7 linked regions of the Macaca mulatta genome follow. The protein of the gene in region 1 purifies or fractionates together with the protein of each later gene. This does not show direct contact. Links are inferred from orthologs where the notes say so. Each region holds a gene or a part of one and is shown in the gene's direction. Other genes may lie near its edges. The genes, in order: DVL2, VANGL2, DACT1, CSNK1D, NEDD4L, VANGL1 and PELI2.

Region 1 (3,955 bases):
TCTTTTATTGCCAGAAATGCAAGGAACTGAGGCCAGAGGCCCGGCGGTTAGGGGGGCCTCCCAAATCTGGAGAGCCCTGACGGCACCAACTTTAGCCTGGAACTTCCAAATGATAACATGATTTGGGAACTGAGCCTCAGGGTCCTCAGCCTACCCCCTGGAGCTTGGATACTGTCCGCACTTCAAGGCAGGAATTCCCAAGGGAGACTTGTTTGAAAATGAGTGTCTCACTTTCCTACCCTATCCGTCCTCCCCACTCTGAACTTGAAATTGAACCCATTACGGTTGCGGGTGGGAGGCTGTCTGTGTCTCTAGACACATAATCTCTGTCTCTTGGACCTGCCACCATCACTTTCTGGGTCAGGATTGGAATTGGGATGGAATGGGACAGTTGTCTATAAAACTCTAGTGTAAATATTAGCACTCCCCTCCCTCATCTTTTCTTCTATTTCACTCCCCATTTATTTTCTTCTACACCGGTTGTATTTTTAATTTTGGACTTCCCCTACTGGGCATGGCAGCTCAAAGGTGGAGTACTAGAGCCTGGCCAAGCAAGGAAGGAAAGCAGAAAGGTGACGATTCTCACTCACCTCTTTTTAATAATATTGGCCGCTGTTTGTACAGACAGCCTGCGTGTTGTGAATAAAGCAGAGTGGGCTCTTTTGTGTTTATAGCCCTCACTGTCCTGCTTGGGAGGGAGGCTTTGGTGGCTGAAGACTAGCTGGACGTGGTGCTGAAAGCCACCTCTCACAGTCCAGTCTGAAGATGGCACAGCACTGGGCCTCTCCCACCCCAAGATACTTGAGTAAGCCACCTCAGAGCTTTCATTGTATTTGGCCCTCCCCACTCGAGTCTAGGAACCCCCACAATCCCCACCTTCACTCCCTGCACGCACACTCCTGAGGGTCAGAGTTGCTTCGCGCTCCCGCCGGTGTGGGGTAAAGCCGGGTGGGAGCCGACTGTCCGCTTCCTGAGGGCACAGGCCAGCTTATCCTGGGTGCTCGGAGGACCTCGGCTGGGGTACACCTTTGGGGGCTGGGAGACCGTTGCCGAAGGCAGCGATCACGTGGCGGGGGCACTAGGAGGAGTCACGCGGTCACGTGACTGGGAGGGGTCACGTGACGGGGGCGGCTGAAGAGCGCGGGGTGGGCGGGCTTAGGTCACGTGACATGAGGAGAGGTGGGCGGGGACCTGGAGGACGCTCGCGTTGTCGGTGGCGGTGGCGCGCGGCGGCCGCTGAGACCGCGGCTTTGAGTCGCACCTCGCGGCCCGCCCCCCGCCGCCACCCTTGCCGACCCCTGCTTTTTTCCCTTTGCTTCTCTCCAGTACTGGGTCCGTCCTGTCCGCGCTCGCTCGTCGGTTTGCGGGTGTGCGCAGGCGCGGCAGGGGCCATTAGCCCCTTGGGTGGGCGGTGGAGCCCGGGAGCGCGCGGGCGAGACCATGGCGGGCAGCAGCGCTGGGGGCGGTGGGGTTGGGGAGACGAAGGTGATTTACCACCTGGATGAGGAAGAGACTCCATACCTGGTGAAGATCCCTGTCCCCGCCGAGCGCATCACCCTCGGCGATTTCAAGAGCGTCCTGCAGCGGCCCGCGGGCGCCAAGTACTTTTTCAAGTCTATGGATCAGGATTTCGGGTGAGCGCAAGGCCTAGATAGGACCGACGGGGGCTTTGCTAGAGTGGATTGGGCGACGTGGAGGGGCACACATCTACTTCGGGCCACACTAGGATTTTCTGGCCTGTGGTGGAGCAGATTGTACCATGCTGAGGTAGGTTGACTCTCCCAGGATGGACAAGGTTATGCTTGGATAGATTGAGGCACACGGGCAGACTAGGATATCCTAAACCAGATTAGAGACGATTAGGCTCTACTGGAATAGGTGGGGGCATACTGGTTTATTTTGGAGTGTTTTAGACTGTACTGAGTAAATTCATTTATCGTCTGGTCGTTTAGTACGTTCTCAGGAGTCCTGTAACGCCTGTAATCTCAGCACTTTGGGAGGCCGAGGCGGGCGGATCACGAAGTCAGGAAATCGAGACTATCCTGGCTAACACGGTGAAACCCCATCTGTACTAACTAAAAATACAAAAAAATTAGCCGGGCGTGGTGGCGGGCGCCTGTAGTCCCAGCTACTTGGGAGGCTGAAGCAGGGAGAATCGCTTGAACCTGGGAGGCGGAGGTTGCAGTGAGCCGAGATCGCGCCACTGCACTCCAGCCTGGACGACAGTGCAAGACTCCATCTCCAAAAAAAAAAAAACACCAAAAAACAAAACAAAACAAACTTGGGCCATTATGGACTCTACTGGGCTGTATTGGTTAATCCTGGTTTATCTTGGGGCAAGACATGGTTTTATTGGAGCACTCAGTATGGGGGCAGACAAGGCTGTTGGTGCCCATGCTAGTACAGGTAGCTGTATTGGGGTATTCTAGTCTATATTGGTGCAGACAGCTAGCTGCGTGTGGGGACATTGTAGGCTGTGCTAGAATAGATTGGGCTATCCTAGGGTAATTTGGACATTCAGGGCTATCTTGGACTAGATTGGCATGTAAATAATGCAGAGAAAGCCCTTTTGTGTTTATGGTCTTTGGGGCTGAGCCCTCTCTGGGTCCTCAACCTCTGCTTTTTTTTTTTTTTTTTTTTTTAAAGACAGAGTCTGCTCTGTCGCCCAGGCTGGAGTGCAGTGGCTGATTCTCGGTTCACTGCAAGCTCCGCCTCCCGGGTTCACGCCATTCTCCTGCCTCAGCCTCCCCACTAGCTGGGACTACAGGCACCCACCACCACACCTGGCTAATTTTTTGTATTTTTTTAGTAGAGACGGAGTTTCACCGTGTTAGCCAGGATGGTCTCGATCTACTGACCTCATGATCGGACCGCCTCGGCCTCCCAAAGTGATGGGATTACAGGCGTGAGCCACTGCGCCCAGCCCAACCTCTGCTTTTTTGAAGGCAGGCTGGATTAAGTTGAGATAGCATGGGTTTTAGAAGAACTGAACAAACTGGACTCTAGCTAGAAAGATTGTTTGACATGGGAAGGGTGATACTATCTTGGGAGTTATCTTGGCTTTAAGTCAAGGTTCTTCTAGTTGTCAGCAGTGCAATCTTGGACAATTAATTTAAATTTTGTGTCTTGATCTCGTCTGTGACATGGAGAAAATCACAGAATGAAATGGTTAGTTCAGGTGTGTGGTACATGGTAAATTCATGGTGAATGGTAATTGTCATTAGTATTGAGGCTGACTACTCTATAAAGGTTATGGTGATACACAGTAATTTGTCTTAAGAGTGGACTGAGCTATGCTGAGATTGTGTTATGTTGGGAAGAATCCTACATGATGCTGACACAGATTGGTAGTGACTGGGCTGTGTTGTCACATTGACAGCAAATGGATTAAGTTGATATATATCCTGGCTCTTATGACCATATTAGGCTAACGGGTTAATTAGACAAGGTGTCCTAATTTGGCGGCAAGGGTGTGTGTGGAAAGAGAGAGAGAAACAACCAGGGCAGAGAGTCTGATGCTTTATATGTTTATTCATTTAGTTGACAGTATTTGTTAATGCCTAAGTGTCAGTGTGTGGTGTGTGGCCAGGACATGGTGTTGATCAGAGTAAGTGTTCATGGTTTGATGTCGTGGTCAAGAAGAAGGGGCAAGTCCAGTCCACCACAGGGAACCCATTGGAGAGATGACCCCAAGGCTGGGCTTTGGGATCTGTCAGGCTGAGCAGATTGCTTCGTGCCGAATTTTGTGCCAGATGAGGCACAGGGGAATGGGAGCGCCAGCTTGCTCTCTCCTTGGGAGCTTTCAGTCTAATGAGGAGCTTCCATTGTTTGTTTGATCTAATGGTGGGTGGTTTTGTTTTTTGTTGTTTTTTGTTTGTTTGAGGTGGAATCTCACTCTGTTGCCCAGGCTGGAGTGCAGTGGCGCAATCTCGGCTCACTGCAACCTCCGCCTCCT
Region 2 (2,326 bases), on another chromosome or scaffold:
TATGAGGGCTCTGGAATTACCAGATCCAAAGGCCCACCTTTACCCCCATTACCCTCTTCGCCTCCACTAGCTGGTCTTGGCTTTGTGTCATTTTGAGCCATTGCCCACCCTTAACTCTATTGCCAGCTTCCAAGAATTGCTTTCCCTGAGCCACCCTTGGTGAGCAGGTAACTAAAGATGTTGCACTTTAACCTTGACACCTCTGGCTCCCTCCTGGTGCAAAAAAACAAAACCTGCTTGGCATTAATCATATAAGCTGTGTGGGAAGGAAGGAAGAATGAGGGAGGGCTTACCCAGGTCACAGCCTGGTGCAGGGAGAAGAGCAGCAGATGGGGGTCAGGGGAGCCGAGTTCAGTCCTACCTGATGAGCCACATCCCCTTGTGCACTCCAGCTTCCTCATTTATAAAATGAGGGTCTGAAGCAGATGATCTCAGGCCCCTTCCTGCTGTAACATTCTGAAGTTCTAGTTCATATGCATAGAGTGAGCTCAGGGACGTCCTTGTTGTCTTTGGAAACTATGCCCCAGGGGATGAAGGATAGTGCGTAGGCGACAGAGATTTTTATTCAGCCCCTTCTTTTCTCTTCAGGCCTTCTTGGAGCGATACTTGGCGGCTGGACCTACCATCCAGTACCACAAGGAACGCTGGCTGGCCAAACAGTGGACACTGGTGAGCGAGGAGCCAGTGACCAACGGGCTTAAGGATGGCATCGTTTTCCTCTTAAAACGCCAGGACTTCAGCCTGGTGGTCAGCACTAAGAAGGTCCCATTCTTCAAACTCTCCGAGGAATTTGTGGATCCCAAGTCGCACAAGTTTGTCATGAGGCTGCAGTCTGAGACCTCAGTGTGACTGTGCAACAGCAGGGGGGAGTGGGAGACTCTGGAGGGCTCCTGAGGGAGTAGGAAGGGGCTTGGTTCTCAGGCCCAGCCACATTCCTGCCACCCTTCTTCTTCTTGCTCTTGTTTTTTTTTTTTTTTTTTTTTTTTGTTTTTGTTTTTTTTTACTTGAATTAACTTACCCCCACCTTCTCTCGCCTCTTCCTTATTTTACCCCATGTGAACTTGGACCATCCTGCTGTCAACAGTACCTGGGAAGGACCCCTCCCCCCTGCCCCCAACAACTTTTGTATTACTCTAGGCGCTGCAGGAATCAGTGCCTCTCTCCCTCTTCTTTCCCTACCTAGTCTTTTCCCAGATTGCAGTCTCTCCTGAAAGGGCACAGGACCCTGCTAATTGTACCTTCCCCTCCTGAGCCTCGACTCACAAACCCAAGTTCTTGTAGCATTTCTCTTCAGTGGCCCCAGCAGGGTTTCTCTGGGGCACACGGTCATGACTCCAGAGAGCCACAGTGCCAAATTCCTCCAGGGCAGCAACTAGCCCTCCTGTCCCTCACACCAGCCACAACAAACCCTGGGTTCTGGGGCAGGGATACTCCTGCCACACAGTCTGAGTTAGGAATCTCCTTGCCAGGAGCATTTGCTTCCACATATATTTAGAGCAAAGAAGGATCCCATCCTTTTCCCAGAAATCTCCACCTCATGTGTTTGGTTTGTATGGTCACGTGACCATAGGCAAACAAGTGGAAACTGTCTGTGACCACTTTTCCAGGGACTTGGGGGAAGGTACCTTTCTTCCAATGTGTCTTTCCTAGGCAGTCCCTGAGGAGGAGGGCTGAATAGATCCCTGAGGGTTTGGAGAGACCCCCATCATTGACTCCTGCTCCCTGACCCTACCCTCACTTTCCTCCCTGCTCTTCCCAGTGAAGGATGGTAAGTCCTGTACAGACTTAGTGGCTTGCAGACCCTGACCCGGCCCCGGTGGTCTTAGACAAATGTTTTTATTTTTGTCATCAGCCACCCCTGTCCTGCTGTCTTCTCTCAACTCCAGAGACCTGTTGCCTCATCTCTTTTGGGGAAGAGCTGGCAGCTCCTCCTCATCCCCTGCCTTAAGTCCAGTTCTTTGCCTCAGGGGTCTGGTTTCCTTGGCCTTCCAGGGTCCCTACCCCTTTTCTCCCTGCCTGATTCTCTGAGCTCTGGGCTCCCTCTGTACTGGGTTGAGGGACAAGGATCACTGCCTTTTGTAGGTACTTCACCCCTCACCCCGTTTTAGCTTCCATAGTCTTTGCACCAAATCCAAATTCTTGATCATTTAGATCTCATTTTGAGCAAAATTTGCTGGTCCTCTAGTAAATCTTTTCAATATAAATCTGAGCCTTTGACTCAGACATTTTTGCCAAGGAAAATAGAATTAGGAAGTACCCATATACATCTAGCCAGGATCCACATGGAGGACCTTTCCAATGGCTGCAATGACTAGGCCATTCCTCT
Region 3 (3,995 bases), on another chromosome or scaffold:
GACCACACAGAGAGGGGAGGAAAGAAGAGGAATTCCTAGCAAGGGTTAGCAGATGAGCAAAAGTGCAAGTGTTTAAAAAAATGGTATAGGATGCACTCCTTCACACAACACTTTGCCTGAACTTCAGCAAATGTGACTTGCTGGATTTAATTTCCGAGGTTCTTGGATGCTTTTGAAGATATATGTGGTGCTTTTCCTCAGAGAAGCCAGCTAGTGGCATTTCCAGACCCCTATCCCACCGGAAATTTCAGTGGGATAGGGATCTGGAGTAGTGTGTTCCAAGCAGAGATGACCAACACATGATACATCAAGAGGGAAGACTTACAAATCCCTCTGGAGAAAAGCTACAACTCATATCACCCTTATTATCTATGTGCTAGCCACGTTGTAAGGGCACAGCCCGCACAATATATATCATATGCTGCATATTATTACAATTCTTCAACAGCAGGTTCCCATAGCAGCTGCCCCCTTTTACAGTGGCGGGAGCGTACACACAGAAGGGAATAAGTTGCCCGCACAGCTATTTAGGGGTGAAACTGGGATACAAATCCAGACAGTCTGATTTCTGAGTCAGAGCTCTTACTGTAAACGCAGACTAAGTAATAATAAAAGCTCAAACAAAAAACCAAAGCGCGCACGCGCGCGCACTCAAATCGTAAGCTTGTAAAAGAATCGATGCAACCTCTCGCTATACAGCGACATCCTCCTGCCTAATTTTAAATGCCGTCCATCGTTAAGACTGACGTTAAAAAATTAAAACGACAACAAAACTTAACAGTTTTAGAACAACATTGCATTATGCTCTGCCTTTACAAAGTGGAGTTAAGGAACCAACCCCACAGTGTCTGTGAATACACTCGCAATACCTTGCCTGGGAAGTGAAAGAAACCTAACTCGGTGTGAGTGGAAAAGAAGAGTGGCCATGTGGGGAAAGGGTTAAGACTGTGCTGCAACTTGGTCGAGTTTCAGAAAGTTCTCCGGAGAGCCCAACTGCCGCGTCCCGTCGCGGCCCCTGCCTGCGCGGCCGACTGTAACAGGATGCTGGGGCTCCAGGCGCTCGCCCCGAGCTTTGGGCGACGGGAAAGAGCCAATGAGGAGCGAGGGCAAAATCGGGTGCAGTAAACCCGAAAAGGGGGCGAGGAGGCCCGCGAAGAGAGCGGGGGAGGAGGCGGGGAGGGGCGAGCGAGGAGGAGGCGGCTTTGAGGGCCGGGCGGCGCGCCTGACAGAAGAGGGGAAGCCTGGGGGCGCGAGCGTCGCAGCCGGGGGGCCGCGCGGGGAGGCGGGAGCCAGGCGGGGGTTTGCAGGGCCGCCGCGCGTGACGTAGCGCCGGGCAGGGCGTTATCAGCTGCCGGGCCGCGGCGAGGGACGCGCGGCGACAGCGGACGGCGCCGCCCGGGCCGGGACGGCAGCAGCCGGCTGCCGCGCGCAGGACCCGAGGGCTTCTGGCCGCCGCCCCCGCCAGCGCCGCGCCCCGCCGCGGGGCGGCATGAGCCCACCCGCGACCGCAGCCCTAGCGCACTACTTCTCCGCCTGGGCGGCCCGGCTGCGGTGACGGCGCTCGTTGCCGGATTGGGGGCCATGAAGCCGAGTCCGGCCGGGACGGCGAAGGAGCTGGAGCCTCCGGCGCCGGCCCGAGGCGAGCAGCGCACGGCGGAGCCCGAGGGGCGCTGGCGGGAGAAGGGCGAGGCGGACACCGAGCGGCAGCGCACCCGGGAGCGGCAGGAGGCCACGCTGGCCGGGCTGGCGGAGTTGGAGTACCTTCGCCAGCGCCAGGAGCTGCTGGTCCGGGGCGCCCTGCGCGGCGTTGGGAGTGCGGGGGCCGCTGCGCCCCGCGCCGGGGAGCTACTGGGGGAGGCGGCGCAGCGCAGCCGCCTGGAAGAGAAGTTCTTGGAGGAGAACATCTTGCTACTACGAAAGCAATTGGTAGGTCATGCCCAGAGGTGGAGCAAGGCTGTCCCTGCCCCGGGGCTGGAGGTCGGGCAGGTGACCTGGGGCGGGCGCGAGGTTAACTCTGGCTGGGGAAATGCTCGCTGTTATGGGACGCCCCCGGGACGCCCCCGCCCGCCCCATACCTCCCTGATCTCGTTTCTGAGTGCCTGCGGCGCGTGGGCTGCCGACGCCCACGCGTTTCAGGCGTGTGCCCGCTTTGTGTCTGGCGACCTCGCGCGGATTGCGGGAAGGGGGTGGCCGCTCTTCCCTCCTCCTCTGCCTTCGGGATTCTTGGAGTCGCCTAGTTCTGACCTTCGGTCTCCTTAGTTAGATGAGTATATGCCCCCTCCCCAGAGGTTTGCAAACTCCCACTTAAAATACCATTTTATTTGGAGGTTTTCTTGGCTTCATCTCCTCCCGCCGAGAGGGGCCAAAAGCCAAGGAGGGGGTTTGTGGCGTGCTTAACTGTCCAAGGCCGAGTTTTACGATTACACTGGAGCGCCTGTAGGGAGCCGTGCCTCTCCGAGAGCTCTCCCCAGCATGCCAGCTTTCACCCAGGCTGGTGCTTAATTTCAAATAGAAGCCCTTTGTATAAGGCAGCTCAAACTAGATGGAAATGATGGAAATTTGGCTGGAGACTGTGTCCCCTCCTCTCATATTTTATACGTTCTGCCAGCTGTGATTGGTGGTGGAGGTGGGAGAAAAGAGAACCTGCTCTCGGGGAGCATTTATCTTACTGGATTTGTCTCAGTCATTCTATGCAGTCTTCATTAGTGGGGAAGAAAAAGAACTTTGTAGCTTAATGTATTGATGAACAGCTTTTGACCCCGCCTCAGAATAATGGCGGCAGCTTTGTTTTCATTGACCTTAAAATGTAGTTTTGGAAACAGCAAACGCCCTCACCTGACCAAGTGATACTATCCAAACTAGACACATGCCGGGTAGTGGCCCTCCCACAATAAAGTGGTGATGCTGTGCGGTTGTCATATGTTTTCGTCTATTATCTCTTTTCAGATCATTTCTTTTCTCTCTCTGTGTGTGTTTTTTTTAAGCGCCCAAATGCTTTTACTTGATAGGTTCATTTTTCCTGAAGAAATTAGTTGTAGCAAACAAACATATGGTTTATGTCTCCAAGCTTTTTAAGTCAAAAGACAAGAGGCATAGATATTCATATGCATGTGTGTTGTAAGGATGTACACTGTGGTTTGTGTAATATCTCTGTTTTGGTATTTTACTATGCTGCTTTGGTCACAGACCTGATTCCTGTGTAACACTGATTTGAGCCAGTTCTCACTGGTTATGGCTGGTGACTTTTACATTTTATTGTCTTGTGCAATTGCATCTTTTTGTCTGCACGAATCTCAGGATTGTAATTGTGCATTCCTATTGTCCGCTTGAGGGGAGCAAAGCCGTATGTCAAGAGAATTCCAGTCCAGTCAGTGTTTATGGTACTATTTTCATTTGTAGACTTGGCATTCATGATTTGAACCAGATGCTTTTTGAGTTCTCCCGTTTTTCCAGCAATAGGAAGCACTAGGTGGCAGTGTGAGTTAGCACAATCCATCTGTCACCTTTGGAAACCCAGAGGCGTTCAAATCTCGATGGGCCTTCCCATGAGGGTTTTGGATTCTGCCAGCTCACATTATACTTGGCACTGGCTATTAGTATTAGTTTCTCACTTTCAAAGGCCCTAAGACTGATTAAACCCCACACAGCAACTAATAGAAAACAAAACTCTGCAGGCCAAGACATTTGGCCAGAAAATCTCACCTAAGATTATAACGTATTATAGGAAATCTGTTACTCTCACTTCAAATTAAAGAGTCTACTGTGAAGTATTGTTTTTTAAAAGACTGGTTATACACCAGATGATTTAAAGTCTCAGTCCGTTTTTCTTGTCCCTACCTATAAAAAGTCAGTTTGCATATATTAGTTGAAACTAAAGCCTTGTTTTTATGAAGAAACTTTATATCACCACAAAATGTGAGAAAGTGGAATTAAACATAGGACATATTCTTGAATTCTCGAAGTCTTTCTTTACTTCAGGTCATCCAGTAAAATTT
Region 4 (4,045 bases), about 83 Mb from region 1:
GATCACAGTCACCGCGGGAGAACTGGGCTCTGTTCATCAACAGAAAAGCCATGAGCGATCCTGCCAATAAGGTCAGTTCTACTAGTCTGGCAGCCCCCACCCCAGGCTCCTGTAACTCAGAAACTGGGCAGTTCCGACTGCCTGTGCCTCATTAGTGACTGACGGTGGTCTGGCCAGTGGCATCTCCTGTCTCCAGGCCCTGCTGTGTAACTTCAGGAATGGATACCTGCCTCCCCCACCCGACCTCCAGCTGTTTGGAGCTGAGGGGTGGAGAGGAAGGACTTGGGGGTGGAGAAAGGCGGGCACCACTGCGGGGCCTGCGGGGGCTGCTTTCCTCTTCTGCAGTGACCTGGACGGGCTGAGGCTGTTGTCTCACTCACGCTGTGGTGCCCACACCAGAGCCCTGGTATGCTACTGCCTCAAAACACACATTCACCTGTTTCACGTTCTTGAGTTTCAGCGAGGATGTGACAGGTCTCAACATACATGGACGTGGGACCATGGGTACGGGTTCTTCAAGGTCCCCATGCACCGCAGCCCAGGGGGCTTGTCTGAAGGGCTTTCTTCCCAGCGATGGGAATCAAAGGCCCCAATCTTTGAAGCTGGCCATCAGCCTGAACGTCCACTCCTTGTTTTCTTTTGCAAGGAGGAACATTCAGAACCAACACAGATAAGAATGTTGACTCGGTCTCCAGGCCGCAGGGACTGGCGGGAGGCAGGTGGTCTGGCCTCGTATTGTGAAAGGTGGTGGCTTTGCCCTTGACCTCCAAGCTGGACATCAGGACCTCCGAAGGCGTGGGCCCGCCCTGTCTCTGGCCTTAGGTGTCAGGAGGTAAGGCTGCAGACGCTGACGTCCTGGGATGCCCCAAGCCCGGGAACTGGTAGCCCAGTGAGGGGGTCTCCCCTGTGTCCCCTGAGCCTGGCCTGTCATTCTGTCCAGGCCTCAGCTACCTGTCCCCTCCTGCAAAAGGCACCGCCTGTCGCGAGGAACTCATCTGGCTTCCTCGACATCTCGGGGGACACACGAAAAGCCCCCGCGAGAGCAGCGGGAGACTGCAGGTGGAAGGGGCTGGCGGCCCGAGGTCCAGGGGTAACGGGACGGTGCGGGGCAGAAGGGCTTGGCCCTGCGCAGAGTTGGGAGGAGGCCTGGAGCGCTCGCCCCGCCCGGCCCCGCCCCCGAGGGCCAGGCCCCGCCCCCGGAGCGCCGCGGCCCCGCCCCACCGGGTTGCTAGGGGAAGTGACGTCACAGCGCGATGGCGGCGGCTCCTTTAGGCAGCTGAAGGGGGATTTAGGCCCGGAAGATCCGAGTCCATCCGCGGCGGGGAGAGGGCAAGCGGGGTCGGCAGGGGCCGGAGCAGCGGCGGCGGCGCTCGGACTGTCCCATCCGCCCCGTATTGAGGCGCTGGGAGCGGCGGGGTGACAGGAAAGCGATGGTGAAAGCGGGGCCGTGAGGGGGGCGGAGCCGGCAGCCGGACCCGCAGTAGCGGCAGCAGCGGCGCCGCCTCCCGGAGTTCAGACCCAGGAAGCGGCCGGGAGGGCAGGAGCGAACCGGGCCGCCGCCGCCGCCGCCATGGAGCTGAGAGTCGGGAACAGGTACCGGCTGGGCCGGAAGATCGGCAGCGGCTCCTTCGGAGACATCTATCTCGGTGAGGCCCCGCCGCCCCCGCCCGCCGTTCGAGGACCCGGGCCCAGAGGCTGCCAAGACCAATCGCGACCGCGGAAGGAAGTGGCGGCCCCCGCGGGGTCTGCGTGCAAGTCGGGGCGCCGCCGGGTCGTGGCCAGAACCCAACGGCCACTAGGCGAGCGCGGCCAGGGGTGGGGAGGGCAGTGGGGAGCGGACGTGGGGGAGGGGCAGGGCCAGGTCGGGGGAGCAGGGTCTGGAGGGAGGAGGGGACAGGGGAGCTGACCCGGGGTGGGGCATGGGCTCGGGGGCGCTGACCCGGGTAGGGGCAGGGTCGTGGGGAGCGGACCCGGGAAGGGCTGGGTGGGGCGTGGGGAGGCGGGCCTGGGGGAGGGGCGCCTGGGGGAGGGGCAGGGCGGGGGTGGGGGCAGCGGGCCGCGGGCGGGGAGGGGGCAAGGCCGGGGCGGCGGAGCGGGCGTCGGCTTCCTCCACGCCTAAGGTCACCGCAGTAAACAAAGGCCACGGTCTTTCTTCCGCAGCCCGGTCCGGGGCTGTCTGGTTCCCCCCACAGAGGCTGCCCCTGCGTCTTGCACGCGTGGGGGAAAATGTCAGAAAGACCCAAATGCCTTGTGGGAGTGGGGGAGTGGCCCGGCTAGGAGCGGAGCTTGCCCTCCGCCTCGCAGCCGCCCTGATGACTGACCGCTGGGGGTTCTCTCTCGCCTGTGCCCCTTGGCCTTGGAGCGGTGACTGAGTGCAGATGAGCAAGGGTTAAGTTTAGGTGACGGTAGAGAAAGTCACCCAGGGTTAAGATGCTGGCGAAGTGAGAGGCAGATGAAGTAGTTGTACTCATGAGCTGTCCTTTAGACTATAACAGTCTCACGGTAGATTTCAAAAAACATGGGATTAGAACGTTCTGGGGTGTGTCATATTTACAATGGAAAAATATGCACATGAACACAAGTGTAATGAAAGGTTGGCTTAAATCTTCAAGTTTGTAATTTTTTTTTTTTTTTCCTTTTTTGAAACGGAGTTTCGCTCTTGTTGCCCAGGTTGGAGGGCAATGGCGCGATCTCGGCCTCCCAGGTTCAAGCGATTCTCCTGCCTCAGCCTCCCTAGTAGCTGAGATTACAGGCATGCGCTACCACGCCGGGCTAATTTTGTATATTTAGTAGAGACGGGGTTTCTTCATGTTGGTCAGGCTGGTCTCCAACGCCCGCCCGATCTCAAGTGATCCGCCCACTTCGGCCTCCCAAAGTGCTGGGAAGCCACTGCGCCTGGCGGAAGTTTGTAATTTTAAAGTAACAATTTTCTGCACTTGTCAGTGGGATTGTGCAGTGCGCGAGTTATTCCAAGACCCCTTGCATTTGAGGATATGTAGCCTGAGGCGGTGTGCCTGCAGAGGGGCTGCTGCAGACCTTTGAGGGGAGCTGTTTTCTGTTCCAGCAGCCCTAGCTTTTGGGGCATTTGTCAGCCAGGGTCAGGAATCCCATGGGATGTCAGTAATGCCTCTGGTCATACCTTTTAGATGAACCCACATGTGGACAGTACCCAGTTCTCACTCCCTTCCCATTTTTCACCAGAGAGAGAACTCAGGACCCGGTGGGCTGACAGCGTTAGGCTGAATCCATACATATGGGTGGCTCATACTTCGGGTGCCTGGTTAATCTGCCGGGTAACCCCGTCATATGCCATGTTGTTGCTTTTGAACCTGTACATATGCCTTAGTGGCCTGCTGAGTAAGCAGGCCTTAGACATTTGGGTTTGACTGTTTAAACATTTATACCAGGTGGTCAGCTGGATGTGTTCTTGGCAGTGTTTTGGAAGTCAGGGTGCTTGGTAAATGGAAGTCGTTTGGCTTATTTATAGAACAGTAGATTTTGGCGAAAGTTTTAATCCCAGGATCTGAGTTACACTGCAAAGCCAGTCCATTAACCACCTTTAGGCAGGCATCAAAGAGAAGTATTTTGGGCCAGGCGTGGTGGCTCACGCCTGTAATCCCAGCACTTTGGGAGGCCAAGGTGAGCGGATCACTTGAGGTCAGGAGTTCGAGACCAGCCTGGCCAAAGTGGCGAAACTCTGTCTCTACTAAAAATACAAAAATTGGCCAGGCGTGGTGGTGGCTGCCTGTAATTCCAGCTACTTGGGAGGCTGAGGCACGAGAATCACTTGAACCTGGGAGGCGGAGGTTACAGTGAGCCAAGATCATACCACTGCACTCCAGCCTGGGTGATAGAGTGAGACTCTGTCTAAAAAAAAAAAAAGAAAGAAGTACTTTGAAACTATTTGTTCTCTTCTCTGAGACCTTGTCAAACAACTTTTGTGCTTTCCAAAGATAGAGTCAGACAAATTTTGGTGTGGTTGTCACCAAGTGATTCCAGAGGTGGAGGGTGGAAGGCTGTCTCCTCACTCAGCGTTCTACCCTCC
Region 5 (3,500 bases), on another chromosome or scaffold:
GCAAATGTAATTTTCTGCTTATAATTATCCCTGGCAGTTTCAAACCTAGAAACTCTAAAAATTTTTATGGGCAGTGTTTTAAATTATAACATTAGATTTTCTAATGACGCACCACCCCCAAATTGTTCAACATTGCATCTTCTGTTTTACTTTCCAATTCCTCCTTAGCAGTTTTCTCTTTGGTTTTCTCCATCACTATGGTTACATCTCTAGGGAGGGGAGAGAATCAGCTGCAGCTCAGACCCCCTCCGGTGGCCTGGGCTCTGTTGCCATTTCTCCCTGCCTCCTCCCCTCAGCCGGTTCCTCCTGCCCAGGACGTCTCTGGATGGGGCACAATCTCTGATCTCATTTAGGAGTTTTGGTCTCTGTTCCAAAGTCCTGATTCAAGAGCTCATGGATAACTACTATTGAAATGATTATTTGCCTTCAAAACTCAGATGAATACTAAAAATTCCACAATTTTCTTTGTGAGTCACGTCCCCTGGTAATGATAATGACTTTGTGGTCATCACCCAGGCTCTCTGACTCTCACATAGCAGTGTCTGCTACCCGGAAACCATCTCTGCAGTTTCATTCTTACAGCCAGACCAAGCCTGGATTGCCTCTTTGCAGGAGGCAGCTGCCGCAGCCTTGGTCAAGTGTTTTGTTGTTTTCACGTCAGCGAACCATGCTTTGGGCTGCTTTCCCCACACTTGGCATAATCAGGGTCCCGCTCCCCATGGCTGCAAAATGGACTTGAGGCACCGTGGATTATATCTACCACCTCGCGGCCCTGCCAGAGTTGAGCATGGCCCCAGCCTGGCCAGGTGGGGATTATTACAGGTTTTGATTACCTGGGCTAAAGTCTCTTGAGAGAAGCAACAGGTACAGTTGACTGCCTTTCAGTTGCCATATGCCGGAGGAGTGCCCACAGTTGTTTATTAAAGGGGGTGAGGAGGCTGTTCTCCTTCGCAGCAGAGTTTCTGACTTTCCTGAGCATCGCTAGCGGATGCCGTGTGTCCATCGTGACACAGCGAGGCTTTCTGTCTGCAAGGGAAAACCCCTGAAGGAGAGGCTCCCAATTGGAACCATTTGTCACTGCCCGTTTCTTTGAGGACTGCCAACTTTCCTACCCTTGGTTGTTGTTTTTATTAGAAAACAAAACGTGTATTTACTGTGTGTGTTTTCTTTTGTCTTTTGTGTAGGCTGATATCCCCAATAGGTTTGAAATGAAACTTCACAGAAATAACATATTTGAAGAGTCCTATCGGAGAATTATGTCCGTGAAAAGACCAGATGTCCTAAAAGCTAGACTGTGGATTGAGTTTGAATCAGAGAAAGGTCTTGACTACGGGGGTGTGGCCAGAGAATGGTTCTTCTTACTGTCCAAAGAGATGTTCAACCCCTACTACGGCCTCTTTGAGTACTCTGCCACGTAAGTATATGGCCACACCCAGAGTGTGTCCCCCACTGAGACAGTTGTATGAATTTAAACAGAATGAAAGAATAAGCAGCTCACCAGTTCAAGATGCAGTAAGTCTGTTGAGTTTATTCTCTCCTCACCCCACAGCCCCTTGCAAGTCTAGAACAGGTTCTGACTCTACCTGGTGAAAGAGTGTACTCTGTGAACATCTAACATTGATTTTTTTTTTCTTATCTAATGGGTTCATGGAGTTGAAATTGAAAACATGGATAATTGTGGTAAGGAATAGGAGGCGATTTTCATTTGCAGTGTTCAAAAGGAGGACTTGTCAGTGTTAGAATTCGAAAACAAAAAGGTGTTTTTTGAACAAGAGTTGTTTCCGAGGTCTCTGGGTAAAGGCAAATTGTAAGGACTTTGAGGACCTAGGACCATGCCCTGCTCCTGTAAGGAAAGAATCAGGTTTCCCCTTGCATTAGGATTTCATCATTGCCAGGCTTGGAAACTGAGGCAGACTAAATTGCTTTCTGAGCAACCAAAGATCGGCTACTTCCAGGCCAGCCATTCCTTCTTCTGAATCCTCCAAGGGTTAGGCTGGACCCAAGCCCTCAGTAGAATAGTCATTGACCTTGCTGAAGGGTATTTATCATCACTTTAACCCTGGGCCCTAAGGGGACGTGGGTTCTCCCACATCTCCCACGTGGTACCAATCTCCTGGGGGCTCATTTGGAAGGCAACCTCAGTGCATTCTTCTCAGTTGCTCTAGCCAAGAATTGCCCAATTGGTCTGTTGTTGTTATTACTGAGTCCCATGAGAAAGCCCACTATGGACAATTTATCCAACTACTGAAGGTGGAGGGCAGGGTGGGGAGAGACAAGATCTTTACCTCTCCTCCACATTTTCAAAGATACCCCCCTGGAGGAAACTGTCTGTGACCCCAGTTTGAAAACCACTGATCCACATAATTGTGAACCAAGCAAGGTCATTTGGACAAATCTAAACACTTGCAGGTTTGCATCATTGAGAGAGCCATATCCTGTTCCTAATCCCCTTGAGGCCTTTTCAGAGCAGAGTAGTGGTCAGAAGACAGACCAAGGGTTGGGCCCATAGCAGACATCTTATGGCCAAGCCAAAAGCCTCTGGAAGGAATTAACCTTCCTTTATCACAGACACGACCTAAAGTACCCACATCAGTGGGAATGCCTGCACAGCCCCTTTATTATGTGGAGTTTCTTATCTCCCCAAGATACTTGGCTGAACCATATGAAATAGACACTTTGTGGATCAGAAACAGTCAAACATCAGCAGTTTCTTATGGTTTAATTGACTTTAGAGTACACATGCATCAGCTTCCATGGTGGGTCATGGTTGAGCAGGTGGTAAGTCAGGTCCTCTAGCCCACACCTTTTCCCACTAGGTACAGAATGCTTGCAAGGACACTGTAGAAATTGAGTGACAGGTGGCAAAGAAATATGCAAAATCTTGCATTTGAAAGTGTGATTGGTCTTTTCTTCTCTTTCTCCTCAAAAGGGACAACTACACTCTTCAGATCAACCCTAATTCAGGCCTCTGTAATGAAGATCATTTGTCCTACTTCACTTTTATTGGAAGAGTTGCTGGTCTGGCCGTATTTCATGGAAAGCTCTTAGATGGTAAGTCTTGAAGTAATAAAAATAGGTCAGTGCCGCTTGTGGTTTGCTGGTAGGTGTCTTATCTTTTGCATCATGAGTTTTTAAGCAAAAGCTTCACTGGTTTACTCATAAAGTATTTTTATGTTTCTCCCATAATGGATGTGCTTTTCTCTGGTAGCTTATTTTGGGCACTGAAGACATAATGTCTACACACAGTTAAAAACAAAAGTTTTTTTTTTTAACTTCATTGTAAAGCACAGAACATTATGTATTTATACATTTGTATGTTTTCTGGAATAACTTTACTGAAAGCAAGATTTGATAACAGATGGAAAAACTAATTGAAAAGTTAGTTAAAATGATCTCATCCATCTAATATTGTGTGATTATTGCATTTGTCCCCAAATTATTTTTTTAATTTGAAGGGACTAAATAATTTCAAAATAATGTTACCACTCAGCTAAGACATT
Region 6 (3,500 bases), on another chromosome or scaffold:
TTTTTTGGACATACCAAAGCTTAGATATTCTACAATGTTGTCCCAATTTTAAAAGCCCTAGAAAATTGGTTAAGGCAAATTTTAACCAAATCAAATCAGTAATTATTACAATAAAGTGTAACTAGCTACATAAATCCTAACATTAAATTTTAGGCTTTGAAAAAATGTCACTGTTGATGGAAGAGTGACAGGTGGTTGTTTACAAGTGTGTCGTGCCTCCTCTCCCAACTCTCTCTCTCTTGCTCCCGCTTTCACCATGTGATGTGCCTGCTCCCACTTCGCCTTCTGCCATGACTGTAAGCTTCCTGAGGCCTCTCTAGAAGCCAAGCAGATGTCAGTACCATGCTTCCTGTAAAGTCTGCAGGACCGTGAGCCAGTTAAACTCATTTCTTTATGAAGGTGTCAGGTATTTCTTTATGGCAACGCAAGAAGAGTGTTTTGGGTCTTGGGATGGCAGAAAGAAAATATTAAGTAGGGAGTAAAGATCAATGCACCCTTTGAAGTGTGGTGAAGATGGGTGGGTTTTGATGCTCTGTGTGTGTGTGTGTGTGTGTGTGTGTGTGCGTGCGTGTGTAGAACTTTCCTAAATTCAAAATGATACTTACATTTTGATAAACCCAGAGAGTTAATTAACATGGCATAAATGTGCTAGCTCGTTGTTGTTTTTCAGGGAGAGAACTAGAGAGAGACATAAGTCACCCCGGAATAAAGATGGCAGAGGGTCAGAAAAGTCTGTCACCATTCAACCTCCCACTGGAGAGCCCCTGTTGGGAAATGATTCTGCTCGGACAGAGGAAGTTCAGGTAAGGATCAAAGGTAGTCTCTAAGCACACTGCCACTTGACTAAGACTCCTTTCTGTAAATGTTTTCCTTAGGTTCTCTTGGGTTTTTGTCTTTATTTTTCTAGCATGCTAATTTATCTATGTCCCGTGGTCTCTTTTTGGTCTGAGGACAGCCTGTCCTGCCCTTTGGTAGCTTGGGGATTCTTCTGAAGTATGATTGGTTGGCCTGCTTTGCATGGTGTGGAAAAGAAATCAGCAAGGTTGATGACAGGGTAGGGAAGGGAAAAGCTGAAGTCTGTCACTGCTCATTTCACAATGGAACAGTGTAAGAGGGAGAAGGAAACTCAGAAACCCTAAGAAGAAGTTTGAAAAACGTGGGACAGCCCAGACTGACCATTACTACTAGAGCTATGCAGTAAATCAGAGGCCGCACACTCAGATGCCTGGTAGAGAAACGTAAGTTAATTAAGGAGGCCCTGGATCAAAAAGAGGGGGCAAAAATATATCAAACAAGCTTTGGGTTAACAGCAGTCTGTGCAGTGCATCAGTGTGAGTGCTGTAGTGTGGTGTGAAGGAGCCTGTGGCTAACTGGAGAATGCATTGCCTCTGTAAAGGAAACAGTAGCCCCGCAGCTCCAGACACCTACTGTTGCTCAGGAATTCAGGGATTCAGTGTTTGAGAAAAGCTGCAAATCCGGATTTTATGTGAAATCCTAACTTTATAGTATTTTTGAAATACTGACACTTTATTAATTTTTTAAACCATTGAGTGGGTTCTTCTCCAGGTTCCAACTGTCTGGCAGCCCACCTGATTTAAATAAATATCTGAGCTATACACAGAAACATGTTTGCACACCCTCTGCACATCCTGAAATATATATACACATGTCCAGCCTTGCCCCTCATAAACAAAGCAATGTATGATACACAGCTGTAAAGACAGATATAGGACTATAGATAAGCATACATCTGTACATACCTGTGCATACACACAGGTAAGCATTTATAATCAGATAGGTGCACTGGAACTGGAATTCCTCAGAGTACACAAGGTGTTCTTGGGACTCAAAGCTCCAGTTGTGGGTTGAACGTGGGGTTCACTGAGCAATGAGCAAATGCATTTAGTGCTGCCTGTCTTGGCTCTGGGATGGCTGATGGTTGGGTGGGGCCAATCCTAGGACTGGATCACCCTGGAGTGCATGAGGGGGTCAGTTTCCTCCCGGATGTGGGTTCAGAGGTGCCGGTGGCCTACAACAAAGGCTCTTTTTTCTCTGCATCTCCTCTGCACCTCATATCTGAGAACTACTTTGGGAAGCTATTGGTGTTGCCCAAGGATGATCTGGTGTGAAAAGCATTGAGATGGGTGTTTGGAGGCTGTATTTTTTAGTAGCTCCGTTACCTTGAGCAGTCACAGCCTTTGTAGGCCTCAGTTTCTTTATTGAATATCTAGGGGGTTTTGATGAAAGCATCTTAGGTGCTTTTTCTTCTAAGAACCTCAAGCTTAACAGGATCCTTTGTACATCTGCATTTTTTAGACATGCATGTGCACCCCAGGAAACTCTCTTGTGCCCTTCCTAGTCAACCTCTGCCCCACCCTCACCTCTCCAAGGCAACCGCTGTGTTGATTTCTATCACTATAGTTTAATTTTGCCTGTTTTTGAATTTAATATAATTAGAATCATATGGTCCACCCCTGTCCCCCAACCCGCCCCACTCAGCGTAATGATTTTGAGATTTATCCATATTTTGGTATGTTTCAACAGCTTATTCTTTTTACTTTTGCTGAGTAGTATTCCATTGCGTCAGTCTACCACAATTTGTTGTCCATTCTCCTAGTGAATGGACATTTGGGTTTTTGTTTGTTGGTTGGTTGGTTTGTTTTTTGAGACAGAGTCTTTCTCTGTTGCCCAGGCTGGAGTGCAGTGGCATGATCTCAGCTCACTGCAGCCTCCACCTCCCGGGTTCAAGCGATTCTCCTGCCTCAGCCTCCCAAATAGCCAGGATTACAGACACGCGCCCCCAAGCCCAGCTAATTGTTGTATTTTTAGTAGAGACGGGCTTTCACCATGTTGGCCAGGCTGGTCTCGAACTCCTGACCTCAGGTGATTTGCCTGCCTTGGCCTCCCAAAGTGCTAGGATTACAGGCGTGAGCCACCGCACCTGGCTGGATGTACATTTTTATTAATTTTTGGATAAAACCTGAGAGTGGAATTGCTGAGCCATGTACTTAAGTGTATTTTTAAATTTCTGTGAAACCGCCAGAGTGGTTTTCCAGAGGCACTGTGCCATGGTCCACTTCCACCAGTAATGTTCGACAGTCCTGGCTGCTTCTGGCCATCGTCTTAAATAGGAATTTCTCTCAGTGTATGTGATACTTCGAACTTTCCAAGTTGAAGGATTATTAGTTCATAGGATTGAGACCTTAACCACCACTTCTTACCATAGCCCATACATTTCATAAATCATGTTTTTTGGTCATGACTAGATTCGGGGTTATTTGGTTATGAGCGATCTCTGTCTTGCTGATTTAGCTACTAACTTCAACTAGCTTTTTCTAAGTTGGTGTCCTAATTTCACCACTTTGCCACTGCGTCTGACGTTTTTTTTTTCTGAGTGAGAGGATACGTACGAATTTCTGAGGCAAAACCTCTTTGGCCCCCTGTGTCTTTTCAGCACCTTGCTCTCTTGTTGCTCCATTATTATTGCCAGTTGTTTTTTT
Region 7 (4,119 bases), on another chromosome or scaffold:
GGAATAATTTATTTCTAAAGCCTCAATTAAAAAAAAATCAGTTCCTAACTGAAGTAAAATTACCAGAAACATCATGTCACTACCGTAATAACCTGTCAGAGAAGGTTACACAAGGGGTGCAGCACAGCGGAATGGAAGGTTACAGATGCAATTATTATTTTCTCTAGCCCTTTGCTTCGGGTCATAGCCAACCAGTCACTATACACAGGGCAGCTTTTGCAGCATTTATTTCTTTAAATATTTAACAGTGTTGAGAGGCAGTGACTGGCAATAATATGTAGAGTTTCTAGCACATTATGAGTGCTTAATAAATGTTAGAACAATAAAATCCTGTATGATGAAAAACAGCAATCAGTAAAACTATTACAGTCTACAATATTTTAAAGCTGTAGCAATGACTAGTTTAAAAAGAATAGAAAGCAAACAGTGCACTGATTAAATCATGGTCATAAAGGAACATTTACATTCACTAAAAAATCCACCCAGGTAATTTCTCCTTATATGTATTAGGGGATGGAAAGAAGGCACGGGAAAAGTGGATAAAGTATGGATTAAAAAACAACTCTTCCCCCAACCCTCTGTCACCCCCCAAAAGCCAGTTGGAGTTCTGTTGACGACACGCCGGGGTAGCTACATCCAGTACAACGGTGGGGGTGCTCCAAGCGCCTTCGAAACGTCCTCTACTCCAGCACCAACTGGCAAAACCTTCTAATTGTCTAGACGCCTTTCTGCTTGGTTTTGGAAGGGGAGGCACCCAAGTGGGTGTGTGAGACACCTCCAGATGTAAGCCGGGACACAGTGACACCGAGAGAGCGCTCTTCTACTTGGAGAGGAAGTTAATCCCATCGAACTCCAGTCAGGAAAACGTAGGCTTGGCATCCGCGGCCGCTCGCTTCCAGGATCTCCCGCGGGCCTTCGCGGCTAAAGAACCAGGCGGCGAGGGCTGAGAACCCCGCGCTCTAAGTTTGGGGAAGGAAGTGAGGAAAAAAAATAGAGCTGCTCCTTTAAGAACTTCCTTTCCCTTTTACTCTATGTTTACATAACACAGGGGCTGAGCCTCCGCCGGGCCGAGGGGGGCGGGCGGCCCCACGCGCAGGGGGAGGGGGCGCCCCGCGGGCCGGGGGCGGGCGGCTCGCTCCACGTGGGGCGGGGCGGCTCCCACCTGCCCGCGCGCCGGCCCCCACCTCCCCCGCGCGGCCCCCGCCTCTCTTGCGCCCGCTCCCTCCTCCCTCTCTCCCTCCCGCTCCCTCCTCCCTCTCTCCCTCCCGCGGGGCTTCGGCGGCGGCGCTCAGCGCAGGCAGGTCCCCCTACTGCCCGGTCCCATTTGTTGCCGGCTCTGACTCGGGGCGGCCGCGGCGCGCGGAGCTCCGGGGAGTCAGGCGGAACAGCCGCGCAGCCACGACGGAGCAGCAGCGGGACTGGCCGCCCCGCGCCCCCTTCGCCGCCGTGCCCTTCCCCGGCGCGCTCACCCCGTTCTCGGGATGGGATTGTAGCGGCGGCGCGGACTCAGCGGGGATCGCGGCGGAGGCGGCGGCGGCGTCGGCTGCCGAGCGGGGCTCCATGTTTTCCCCTGGCCAGGAGGAGCACTGCGCCCCCAATAAGGAGCCAGTGAAATACGGGGAGCTGGTGGTGCTCGGGTGAGTCCTGGGGTCCCTGGTCCCGGGCAGCGGCGCGGGCGGGGAGCGTCCGCATCCTCGAGTGGGGCAGGCGGGGTGGCTCGGCGCTCTCTGGGGACTGCCGGGGCGCTCGGGGCGGCAGGAGAGGCTCGCAGGGCCGGGACGCCCCCCATGGGCGCGCGCTCCAGGCGCTGCGGCGGGCGCCGGGCTGCGCTGTCCCCGCGGAGGAGGCGGCGGAGGAAGTGGCGGCCGGGACTCGGGCGACCCCGCGGGGGCAGCGCCGGGCACCGGGTCCGTGGCCGTATCGTGAGGGCGGGGGCAGGGGCTCCACTTCCCGCGCGCCGCGTCCGCCCGGGGAGGGCGGGCAGGAACTCGGGGTGAGGCGCCGCCGTCGCGGGCACTTCGCGGGGTCGCTTCCCGAAGCTGAGAGCCCGGCCGGCCCGGAGTCCCGTCTTCCCACCTCCCGGACGGACCGTGGTTCCCGCGCCCCCGAACTCCGAGCGCGGCGCCGTGAGCTCGGGCCGCCGCGGGCTGTGGGATCCCCGGCTGCGCTTTGGAAATTGTTCCGATGACCGCCGCGGGCCGCCGCAGCCCGAGGGCAGTGAACGGTGTGTGACCCGGGCCGGCCGGTCCTCCGCTTCTCCTTGGAATGCCCTGGTGGGGAGGGGCAGGATGCGGCTGCTCGGGGCCTGGCACTGGGGCGCGGGCCGCATCCCCCTGGTCCCCGCCTCGCCAGTGTCCTCCCGGCGGCGGGGAGCTCGCCAGCCTCGCCCGCCTCGGCTCCCTCTCTGCTGGTGAAAGCCGCATTTTGTAGATAGTAATTATGTACAATCGTTAAACGGCAGCAATTAGAGACTTCATCTACTTCCTGAGTTTCCTTGTGACATTTCTATTGTTTACCCTTAATAAGCCGGGAGAGAGGCTTCGCGGGATTATAGCTGGATATAGTGGGCAGTGAAAGGGGAGGGGGAGGGGGGAAGTGCAGGAAACTGGGGAGAAGGAACAACTTGGGTTTAGTGTTGAAGAAAGGATTATTTTTTCCTTTGGCCAAATGTGTCGCTCCTGGGAACCCGCGCTTTTGTCCTTCTGCGTTGAAAGACCTGTATTCAGAACATCCTTGGCGCTGATAGGTAGGCTTAGCACACATATGAGGAGTCATGGCTGTGGGAAGACTCAGGGAACTTTGCAAAACGTGTTTTGATACTTGAGTACCTTGAAGTAAGTGCTGACTTAAAAATAATTTAAGAGGAGTTTTTTAAGGGAAGCTTCCAGACACCGCACAACTCAAAGCTTCCCAGTCTTCCTGACTTTGTTGCTAGTGCATTAAGTGGGGGTAGTATTGGAAATCTCATTACCTATTTTGAAGCTGTTTGCAGGTAAGTGTTTTTCTCACCTGCATCTTAATTGCACTTCAAAGACAAATATCAGGGTTCACAGGAAGGCGGGAGGAATGACAGGAGAAAAACCACAGTATAGTCTGTCTTATGTAACTTCAGCCCAACCTAATTTTGTGGAGTTTGGTTTTGTGTGGCTGGCTTCAAAGTATGTTTAACACTGGGAATTTGACGTGGAAGATTAACGTATGCCAGGACATTATTTTCATTATTTCCTTTTGAGGAAATAATTGTTGAGATGTTTCAGAAAAGCAGCGAGTGGGCCTGGAGAGGTTTTGTGTTCATAGCTGGCAGTGCAGGGCATTCCGAAGCCACGGAAAGGATTGAAACCCTGGATTGTCCTAGTATCATACATGGTCTTACTGCACAGGAGCCTGTGGATATAACGTTGCAGTTGCATACGCTCTGCCCTTTGCTAATGCTTTTCCAGGAGACCAAGGTATGACATAGTTGGCCCTTAGTGGGCGAGACACTCAATCGTCATTTGTGTACCTACTCTGTGCTTGTGCTGTTTAGGCATTGCTGATGTAGTGAGAACAGGGAACTTTCATTTTAGTGTGGAGTGACAGGCATAAACAGAAAGAAACATTCAAATAGGTGAGTAATAAGTGACCATTTCAGGTGTAACCAAGTTCTAAAGAGGAGCTGATAAACTTGGAGAGTGACTGCTTAGGTGGGTATTGCTTTCTTCGACTGGAAGATCAGGGAAGTTCTCTCTCAGGAGGTGAAATGTGAATAGAGGATGCTAGTCTGGTTTTTGAATACTTGAATTGTGGTATTTTTCTTTTTTTGAGAGTAGGTTTCTGACTGTTTACCAGTGTTGAACACATTGAAGAGTGCAGGTGAAAGAGTGACTAGGTAGGTAGATTTTTAAAGAGAACCTTATTGATATTCCACCCTTAGGGTTTCAGACAGTGTACTTCATCTTAAAACAACAATAACATTCACACAGAATTACTATCTTTATGATATTATCTTTATGTCCTCTGGGACATAAATATTGGAAAACAAAATTTCAAGTAGATTTTCTGAATAATGAGATGATTCCTGAGATCTAAAAATGGCTAATATTTGATATTGATAGAAGCTTTGCTTGTCAAATTCAGTGC

The links.
Region 2: the proteins of DVL2 (region 1) and VANGL2 purify together in Homo sapiens (affinity purification with mass spectrometry; 4 studies listed by BioGRID and IntAct, with this or other methods). This does not show direct contact. The link is inferred for Macaca mulatta from reciprocal best matches to the Homo sapiens genes DVL2 and VANGL2.
Region 3: the proteins of DVL2 (region 1) and DACT1 purify together in Homo sapiens (affinity purification with western blotting; 3 studies listed by BioGRID and IntAct, with this or other methods). This does not show direct contact. The link is inferred for Macaca mulatta from reciprocal best matches to the Homo sapiens genes DVL2 and DACT1.
Region 4: the proteins of DVL2 (region 1) and CSNK1D purify together in Homo sapiens (affinity purification with mass spectrometry; 3 studies listed by BioGRID and IntAct, with this or other methods). This does not show direct contact. The link is inferred for Macaca mulatta from reciprocal best matches to the Homo sapiens genes DVL2 and CSNK1D.
Region 5: the proteins of DVL2 (region 1) and NEDD4L purify together in Homo sapiens (affinity purification with mass spectrometry; 4 studies listed by BioGRID and IntAct, with this or other methods). This does not show direct contact. The link is inferred for Macaca mulatta from reciprocal best matches to the Homo sapiens genes DVL2 and NEDD4L.
Region 6: the proteins of DVL2 (region 1) and VANGL1 purify together in Homo sapiens (affinity purification with mass spectrometry; 4 studies listed by BioGRID and IntAct, with this or other methods). This does not show direct contact. The link is inferred for Macaca mulatta from reciprocal best matches to the Homo sapiens genes DVL2 and VANGL1.
Region 7: the proteins of DVL2 (region 1) and PELI2 purify together in Homo sapiens (affinity purification with western blotting; 3 studies listed by BioGRID, with this or other methods). This does not show direct contact. The link is inferred for Macaca mulatta from reciprocal best matches to the Homo sapiens genes DVL2 and PELI2.

What each region holds. Positions count from the first base shown.
Region 1 is NC_133421.1:8,718,185-8,722,139, reverse strand, and holds the start of DVL2 (segment polarity protein dishevelled homolog DVL-2), read left to right. Parts: upstream 1-1,155; 5' UTR 1,156-1,440; coding exon 1,441-1,634; intron 1,635-3,955. Other genes in the region: PHF23 (PHD finger protein 23), read left to right, coding at 1-80.
Region 2 is NC_133406.1:106,462,174-106,464,499, reverse strand, and holds part of VANGL2 (vang-like protein 2), read left to right. Parts: intron 1-588; coding exon 589-849; 3' UTR 850-2,326. UniProt on the Homo sapiens protein: Involved in the control of early morphogenesis and patterning of both axial midline structures and the development of neural plate. Plays a role in the regulation of planar cell polarity, particularly in the orientation of stereociliary bundles in the cochlea.
Region 3 is NC_133412.1:131,747,012-131,751,006, forward strand, and holds the start of DACT1 (dapper homolog 1), read left to right. Parts: upstream 1-1,195; 5' UTR 1,196-1,581; coding exon 1,582-1,926; intron 1,927-3,995.
Region 4 is NC_133421.1:91,982,589-91,986,633, reverse strand, and holds the start of CSNK1D (casein kinase I), read left to right. Parts: upstream 1-1,245; 5' UTR 1,246-1,570; coding exon 1,571-1,646; exon of another isoform or gene 1,647-1,672; intron 1,673-4,045. UniProt on the Homo sapiens protein: Essential serine/threonine-protein kinase that regulates diverse cellular growth and survival processes including Wnt signaling, DNA repair and circadian rhythms. It can phosphorylate a large number of proteins.
Region 5 is NC_133423.1:22,628,515-22,632,014, reverse strand, and holds part of NEDD4L (E3 ubiquitin-protein ligase NEDD4-like), read left to right. Parts: intron 1-1,184; coding exon 1,185-1,414; intron 1,415-2,929; coding exon 2,930-3,051; intron 3,052-3,500. UniProt on the Homo sapiens protein: E3 ubiquitin-protein ligase that mediates the polyubiquitination of lysine and cysteine residues on target proteins and is thereby implicated in the regulation of various signaling pathways including autophagy, innate immunity or DNA repair.
Region 6 is NC_133406.1:124,612,644-124,616,143, reverse strand, and holds part of VANGL1 (vang-like protein 1), read left to right. Parts: intron 1-670; coding exon 671-803; intron 804-3,500.
Region 7 is NC_133412.1:129,257,249-129,261,367, forward strand, and holds the start of PELI2 (E3 ubiquitin-protein ligase pellino homolog 2), read left to right. Parts: upstream 1-1,319; 5' UTR 1,320-1,560; coding exon 1,561-1,637; intron 1,638-1,969; exon of another isoform or gene 1,970-2,224; intron 2,225-4,119. UniProt on the Homo sapiens protein: E3 ubiquitin ligase catalyzing the covalent attachment of ubiquitin moieties onto substrate proteins. Involved in the TLR and IL-1 signaling pathways via interaction with the complex containing IRAK kinases and TRAF6.